2 linked regions of the Daphnia pulex genome follow. The protein of the gene in region 1 interacts with the protein of each later gene in a pairwise test. Links are inferred from orthologs where the notes say so. Each region holds a gene or a part of one and is shown in the gene's direction. Other genes may lie near its edges.

Evidence for each region.
Region 2: the proteins of proteasome subunit alpha type-7-like (region 1) and trafficking protein particle complex subunit 13-like interact in a two-hybrid assay, tested with the Caenorhabditis elegans proteins (3 studies listed by BioGRID). The link is inferred for Daphnia pulex from reciprocal best matches to the Caenorhabditis elegans genes pas-4 and C56C10.7.

The regions. Positions count from the first base shown.
Region 1 is NC_060020.1:7,377,515-7,381,085, reverse strand, and holds proteasome subunit alpha type-7-like, read left to right. Parts: upstream 1-1,396; 5' UTR 1,397-1,692; coding exon 1,693-1,797; intron 1,798-1,872; coding exon 1,873-2,113; intron 2,114-2,253; coding exon 2,254-2,387; intron 2,388-2,446; coding exon 2,447-2,719; 3' UTR 2,720-2,790; downstream 2,791-3,571. Other genes in the region: uncharacterized protein LOC124192310, read right to left, coding at 44-214, 278-554, 618-847, 1,000-1,075. UniProt on the Caenorhabditis elegans protein: The proteasome is a multicatalytic proteinase complex which is characterized by its ability to cleave peptides with Arg, Phe, Tyr, Leu, and Glu adjacent to the leaving group at neutral or slightly basic pH.
Region 2 is NC_060019.1:5,174,071-5,178,327, forward strand, and holds the start of trafficking protein particle complex subunit 13-like, read left to right. Parts: upstream 1-1,146; 5' UTR 1,147-1,382; coding exon 1,383-1,419; intron 1,420-1,497; coding exon 1,498-1,675; intron 1,676-1,735; coding exon 1,736-1,820; intron 1,821-1,879; coding exon 1,880-2,010; intron 2,011-2,077; coding exon 2,078-2,150; intron 2,151-2,208; coding exon 2,209-2,253; intron 2,254-2,941; coding exon 2,942-2,950; intron 2,951-3,184; coding exon 3,185-3,284; intron 3,285-3,350; coding exon 3,351-3,475; intron 3,476-3,556; coding exon 3,557-3,685; intron 3,686-3,848; coding exon 3,849-3,949; intron 3,950-4,052; coding exon 4,053-4,257. Other genes in the region: arginyl-tRNA--protein transferase 1-like, read right to left, coding at 1-190, 254-322, 390-489.

The DNA.
Region 1 (3,571 bases):
TTGGTAAATTTAACGGATTTGAGTTTACATATGCGATTCTTACTATTGCTCGATGTTGCGACAGCACATCCCGTTTCATCCGAAAAAAGTCCTGCTCCACAATTGACGTGTCCATCACATTTCAAATTGGATGGGATGCATTTTTCTTGCATCTTGGTTGACTTGTCAACACTGGGTATACATGGCCAGTAAGCAGTGTCATTTGTTTTGCAAGCTGTTTTTTAAAGTCAATATTTATTACTGGCATCATAGAATATAAATGAGGTGTTTATATTACTCTGTCTGTAAGAAGTTACAACTACTTTAAGTCGTAGGGGTTGAAGATTTTGATCCACTTTCCTGCTGGTTTTTCTAAACCATATGTGCAACTCTCCACCAGGGTCATAAAATGTTGTTGCTTCTGGTCCTTCAGGAATAAGTGATTCCACATAATTGTGGAGAACTTCTTCATCATTGGATTCTGATGGACGTTCACTGGTATAATCATAGATGGGAACCAGTTTTCTTTCTCCACACAACTTTTTGCTGAGGTAGCCATCATCATCTCTGCCAAACTACAATTAAGGGTGTCATGAAAAAAAATCCAAAACAATTTATTTAAAGTTTATAGGACTTACCCAGACATAGTCATCACACTCATTATCCAAAGGATTTCTCCTAAGATTAATGTCTTCAACAACAACTTGCAAACCCTGATTTTTTGGTGCTTCTATTTCTAGATGGCAGTCAATCGCTAACTCAGTAACATGAGGGTACTTTGAAAGTTGTATCAAGAGTGCAGTACTCCTTGAATTCATTTTAATAGTCCTTTTGGCCGAGGAACAGACATTTGCATCTTCTAAATAATCTAAAACGGAAAACAATAAGGGCCATTATTATTGTGACATCAGTGAGTCAAACCTAAGGGCTAAGGGCGTTGTCGAAATTGGTTATAATGAAACGCACCATTATATTTAAGGAGATAATGTTAACGTTTGAAAAAAAAAACAGTGGACTTACATATTTGGTAGCCATAAGTTTCTAAAACAGTAACACTATAAATACACAATAAAAACAATCTCGTTGCGAACTCCATTTTTTGACAACTTATCGACTGTCTGCACACATAGATAACTGTAGGTTGCCTGTGATGGCTGTCACTTGCATTGCGCGCCATCTTTTGTTATAGTACCAAAGCACAAAATTGGACCTATTGAAATATATAAGTGAAAATCACATGAAAGTAGTATTCTAGTGTTCTCTGTTCCATATAATATCACGATTATTTTTATTCAAATGGTTGCATGTGAATTGATGTCCAAAATTGTATTTAGTACGAAAATCACTCCAAGCTTTTGAACTTTGCCGCATGAGAACCATTTACTTCATTTGGCGGTGCTTGATCTATAATTATCTGGAACATTACACATCAAAAAAGAAAAAGCGATCGACGATTTCCGAATTTAAAAATAAAGTCTTATAATTATTTTATAGTAAAATCTAATCCACTGTGGTTGAAGGGGAAACAAAAATTTATTAATGAGTTCGAACTTATGAGATAATTTTTTTGTTTTTACATTTTTTAATAGATTTGTTAACGTTGTTCGGCGAGCTGCTTGACTCGGCAAATTTTTTGACGCAAAATTTTCTGCTCTTTAACTGAAGTGAGAAACTTGATTGAAAGCTCACCAGTACTTATCAAATAGACTAATAATGGGTTCAGCACGTTACGATCGCGCCATTACAGTATTTTCACCAGATGGGCATCTCTTTCAGGTCGAATATGCTCAAGAAGCTGTCAAGAAAGGATCCACTGCTGTAAGTAAATTTCTACGATAGTGGCAGTCGACACCGACTAATGATTACTTTCGTGTATATTTTAACTTTGTTTAGGTTGGTGTAAGAGGCAAGAATTTAGTAATCTTGGGAGTCGAGAAAAAGTCTGTTGCCAAGCTACAAGAAGAAAGGACTGTCCGAAAAATATGCCTCCTTGATGATCATGTGGTGATGGCATTTGCAGGGCTGACAGCAGATGCCCGAATTTTGATCAACAGAGCCAGAATAGAATGTCAGTCCCATAAACTGACAGTGGAAGATCCAGTAACCTTGGAGTACATAACAAGATACATAGCAGGTATTATTTTTTCACTGATAATTAAACTGCTAAGTTTTGTGGACAAATGTCTTGTTTTTTTAAGGATTATTTATTACCCTTCATTTACGCAAATGTTTTTTGTTTGTTTTTCATGTGCGATTTATTATTTATTCTAATAGGCTTGAAACAGAGATATACACAGAGTAATGGAAGACGCCCATTTGGGATCTCTTGTTTGCTTGCTGGATTTGATTTTGATGGCACTCCTCATTTATATCAAACTGACCCTTCTGGAACATACCACGAATGGAAGGTGAGCTAAAGACTTTTCAATTGATTTGCATTTCAGCAATTAATAACGTGGAATTTCAGGCCAATGCCACAGGCCGTAACGCGAAAACAGTTCGTGAGTTTCTAGAAAAGAACTATAACGTCGAGGAGATGGAAGATGAAGAAAAAGTTATCAAACTAGCAATCCGTGCTCTTCTGGAAGTGGTACAATCAGGAAGTAAGAATCTGGAATTGGCGATTATGAGACGTGGCCAACCAATGAAGATGCTGGAAGTTGACGAGATAGAAAAGCATGTCGCCGCTGTTGAGAAAGAGAAGGAGGAAGAAGCAGAAAAGAAAAAGCAGAAGAAGTAACTATTTGAAAACTCAGCAAATTTGTGATGCTGCGTCACGTACCAACAAATAAACAATGGCCTAAACACAAAGTGTTATCCTACAACGTCGTCCAATTCGTTTCGTAAAATTTACGCGTCTAATTGTTGAGCTATTCATTATTTGTGTATTCAGAGATGGTCTAGTAGTGAAAGCGAAAAAAGAATCCGATAAAGATGCCGGTGATTTTAAAACACTTATTGAAGAATCATTTAACGAACGTTGGAGTCTTGGAGATGGCGTTAACGAAAATCAGCATCCGAAATGATGGATCAACGAGTGTCAATGAATATTCATGGGATTAGCTTGTTTCGTTTTAATTAAATGTTTATTTAAATCTACGACAGAATCACATCGATTAGAGACACAGTTTGGATCGTTTGGGATAAAAATTCATTGAAAATGTTAAATGAGAAAAGACTTTATTTATTGTAACAGGTCACCCTAGTTGAGTAGAATGGGAGGAAGAGTTTAGAAGTGAGATAATGTGTATTGATTTTGATTCACGGGTAGTGTTGTACCGTATATTGATGAAGAGCATACGCAGTAGACGCCCAGGTTATGTAGACAAACAAAAAGGAGTATTGTATTTGTACAGTTGAGATTTGAAAAGAATGTCTTCTTGGTGAGTTACTACAGTTGTGATATACATATTGACGTTAAGCGATGTGTACACACACCTTGATGCGGATTTAATCAAGTTCCAATTTTCTTTACTATTCCTATTAAAAGAACAGTGTTTTTCTCCTAAAAACAGTAAGGGTCAAAAGATCTGCCGATGATCACCGTCGTGTATTTAATTAGAAACAGGAGCAATACAATTGGGCAGCAGCA
Region 2 (4,257 bases), on another chromosome or scaffold:
CAATCATTGTGGTCAGTTATAGAAGACTCTTCAGGTTTGGTGTTGAAATTTGTTTCTTTAGAAAGATAATTTCTTACTTTTTTCAAAACTTTTTTATGAGAGGGATTCATTTGAAAGTCTTTTGCATTGCATCGAATTGTATACTGTGGACAGCATGTATCTTTCATCATTGGTTTATAACAATAATGTCCTGAAGGGTAGATATATTTTAGTTGGAAAATTTAAATGTTTTAAACTTTTAAAATCTTAGTACCACTCCTTCTCCAACCACGGTTAATTAGATTTTCATAATCTTGAATATTCATTGTATGAGCCCACATGCCTTTGCAAAGTCATTGAAATTTAAGTTAGTTAAATTTAAGCTTACAATTATACTTAATATTCTTTACCGTGGCTGAGGTTTGAATTGGAGCCTTTGCAATAACCACACTTGTGTCCCTTGTCATTTCCAAAATATTCAACTATAGAAAAGTTCTCCTTGTCATTCATTTTGTTTACCCCAGTACAGCTCAATTTTCATGTATCAGAAATCTAAATTAAAATAATTTAATTTAATTGGATTTTTTCTTTCCGATTTTTTGTTGTTGTTGTTATACTATGTAACCTAGGAGGTCAATGACAAATATGGCGTACTAGTTTAAAGGGCCGCGCTACTTGCTATACCTCCAGTCAGCTCCATTCACTCGTCACTCCTGTCAGCTCCTGTGTTGGAAAAGTGAAACCAAATTTGCTCACATTTTCTTCAAGTAAAGCCATCTAGTTGTCGAAACAATTAACATAAAAAAATTCGTATTTTTCTCATGGTTTATGATTATTGATGAACCAGAACAAATTACTATTTTTGGGGAGTAGGGAGATGGAAGGCTAATCTAATCAGCTAACCAGAGCTATAGAATAATAGTATTCTATAGCATTCTATACTAGTATTCACTATTCAATACTATATTCTATAGCTCTGGTTAAACCTCCTTTTTTGGCCTATGTTAAGTAGACTTTTTTCATTCTTTCTCATTTCCAATCTCTTGAAAAAAAATGAATTGATTGAAAAATAAAATCAATAAGATCAAGTTTTCGAATTCCAAATTTCCTACTACTGCCGCCAATGGCTCTGCTGCCGCGACGATAATTAGGCCAGACTGCTGACTGCCGGAGTGATGTGGCTTCGTGGAGTTACTGTAGTCTTGAGAACGGGCAACGGGGCCTAATAAATAGAGGAAGGGAAGTGAAATCGTCTTTACTCTTTAGAAAACATTCGGCTTCCGTTAAAAATAAAAAATAACAGCAGTTATTCCTTTTAAATATTGCTGCGCTGTGTCGCCTGTGTGGGCTGTGGACAATTTCCTTGTGTTTTAAATTTAATAAGTTTCCATTATCTACGTGCCATGGAAACTAAAGCCGATCAGATTCTGTCGATCAAAGGTATTTCGTATTCAATATTTAAAATCTAACTTCTCGTCAAACATTTTGTAAACGATTCTGCAATCATTTAATTTTAAGTGATGAGGTTGTCACGTCCAGTTTTTACACAACCTGGGCTTTTCCATCCAGAACCTTGGGATTTGGTCAGCACAATTCTATCCCAAGAAGAAAATAATGTTTTAATAGAAGATGCTGATCAAACTCTGGATAAGACCTTTTCTCCTAAATTTGGATTACTTCTACCTCAAAGCTTTGGGTTTAAAAATGAATCTTAATTGTTTAGAACTAAATTATACTAAATTTGTTTGTTTTCCAGTACTATATACTTAGGTGAAACTTTTCAAAGTTACCTTCGTGTTCAGAATGTGGGCTCTTGCTTGGTTTCAAATATATCCATCAAGGTTTGCAAAGTTTGGTAATTTCATAAACAGTTTTTAGTAAAGATACTTGTAATTTGCAGGCAGATCTCCAGACAGCTGCACAAAGGCTTCCATTAACAAAACGTAATAAAGTGTCAATTAACCAGCTTGAACCTCAGCAATCAACTGATGATATCCTAAGTCATGAAATAACAGAAATTGGAACACACATGTATGTTATCAATATTTATCTTTTTTCATCTTAGTTTTTTTTGTTCTTGATTTGAATTAATTTGCAGTTTAGTTTGTGAAGTATCCTATCAAATTGGTGCAGGTGAACAGATGACATCTTCTCGCTACTACAAATTTCAAGTAAAGATATTTAAATATGTGATATCTACTAAGACTCACATAAAATCTTCCAAAACAGGTTCTTAAACCTCTAGATGTAAAAACTAAGTTCTACAATGCAGAGGTAAGTTCTACTTCCTATACTTGTACTTAGACTACATACTACTGATCAACTTTTCATATTTAATAATTGTAAAAATTACGAGTTTTAACACATAAAACAAAACTATGCGCATAGGGGATTCCATATGAAAGCGACAAAAATCTGTGACGACCATCTCACAGTATATTTGACCGCCACTATATGCTTATTCAATTCGTATTTTTGGAAAAATTAATAATTACCCCGATTAACATATAAAACATATTTGTGGGTCAAGGTGGTTTCAAACTTTTAATCGAATGCGCGGTTCCTTTTTTTTTTTTTGTTGGTTTTTTCCTCGAAATCTTTCCAGTAGAATTCATCAATACGAATTGAATAAGCTTCCGTAATTCATGAGATGGCGCCATAAGTTTTGAAGGTTTCCATTTGGAATCCCTACACTGTAAAGAAAAAACAACCTATATAGAAATATAACTATATATATATTTATCAGTAATTTCCACAATACCGGTTGTGATTTACCCTGCTCAAACTTAATTCATGGACTGGATAAGCGATTTTCTTGATCTTTAATTTGTTTTCCTTTTTTCAACTCAAACAACTCTTCATTCCTTGCATGCGTCCTTTTTTCTACCAAATGATAAATTAACTGCTGCATGTCCATTTTTTTACTTCACTTTGGACGGCTATCGGGATTCACCTTTCACAGGACTATTACGTAAGACTTGTGTTGTTTGTGTCATAGGAGAAATTATAAAGAATTTCTTAATACTTCGTCTTGGTTATCAACTGCTTTTAACCATCTTGTAGTAAAATATCTCAATCGTTTTTAAGGGAGTGGAATCCGAAATTAGAGCTAGTTGTGACATTAACTTGACATTTTTATCAATATAAATTTGTATGGCCTTATGAATATAGCTCAACCACTTATTTCAGCTTCAATTAAATTTAGTCCGACGATGTGTACTTAGAAGCCCAAATTCAAAACACGACTGTCGACCGACCACTTTGCTTAGATAAAGTCACAATGGAACCTTCTACTCTGTTTGAAGGTCTGCAGCCACCATTGAGCTTCTTCATTTAACCGTTTAAGCAATTTTAATTGTTCTCTGAATTAGTTTCATCGCTTAATGAAATATCAACGACCACTGGCACTCCTTGGTCCAATATGCCACAGCTCTTCGGAAAATGTGTAAATGTGGTTCAACCGGGTGAAATCCGCCAATACCTTCACTGTCTAAAGGTAAGAACGTTAAGAAATAGTAATCTTAAATTTCTCCGTTAAATTGGTTATTAATGGCAAATTCATTCTTATTGATCACAGCCAAAGCAGAATGTACGTGATAACCACAGAATGTTGAGAGGAGAGAGCAATATTGGGAAACTTGACTTAATTTGGAGAACTGCTATAGGAGACCGTGGACGATTGCAAACCAGTCAGCTACAACGAATGGTAAAAAAAAAAAAAAAAAAAAAAAAAAAAAAAAAAATGCTGTTTTTAGTTTGAGTAGTTTTGCTAAGTTGGAATGAGAGTTTTGCTTGATTGGAAAGCTTTTTAGTAAATTCGTCAGTCTAAATCTTAAACCGTAAAAATGGTCCCCTTTATTCTTATACAGGTCCCCAATTACGGTGATGTACGCCTGACAATCCAAGAGCTACCTAATCCAGTAAAACTCCATCGGCCAATTAACTTTGTCTGCAAAATAACGAACACCAGGTAAATGGAGCTCTTTGATACATGAGGGAAACTTATCAACTAAATAAATTGGTTCATTTTACAATTCTTTATCATGAACTATACGTTTATTCATAATTTTTAGTGAAAGGCCGGTCGAACTAAGTTTGGTGTTGGAAATCCGTTCAAAACCTACAGTACTTTGGACTGGTGTATCTAATCGGCCACTGAAGAAAATTGATCCTAATCATTCCACGGAAGTTTCCCTGAAACTTGTACCAGTGATGCCAGGCTTGCAGAGTATCTCTGGATTAAAACTTATCGATTTATTTCTCAAAAGAACATATGAT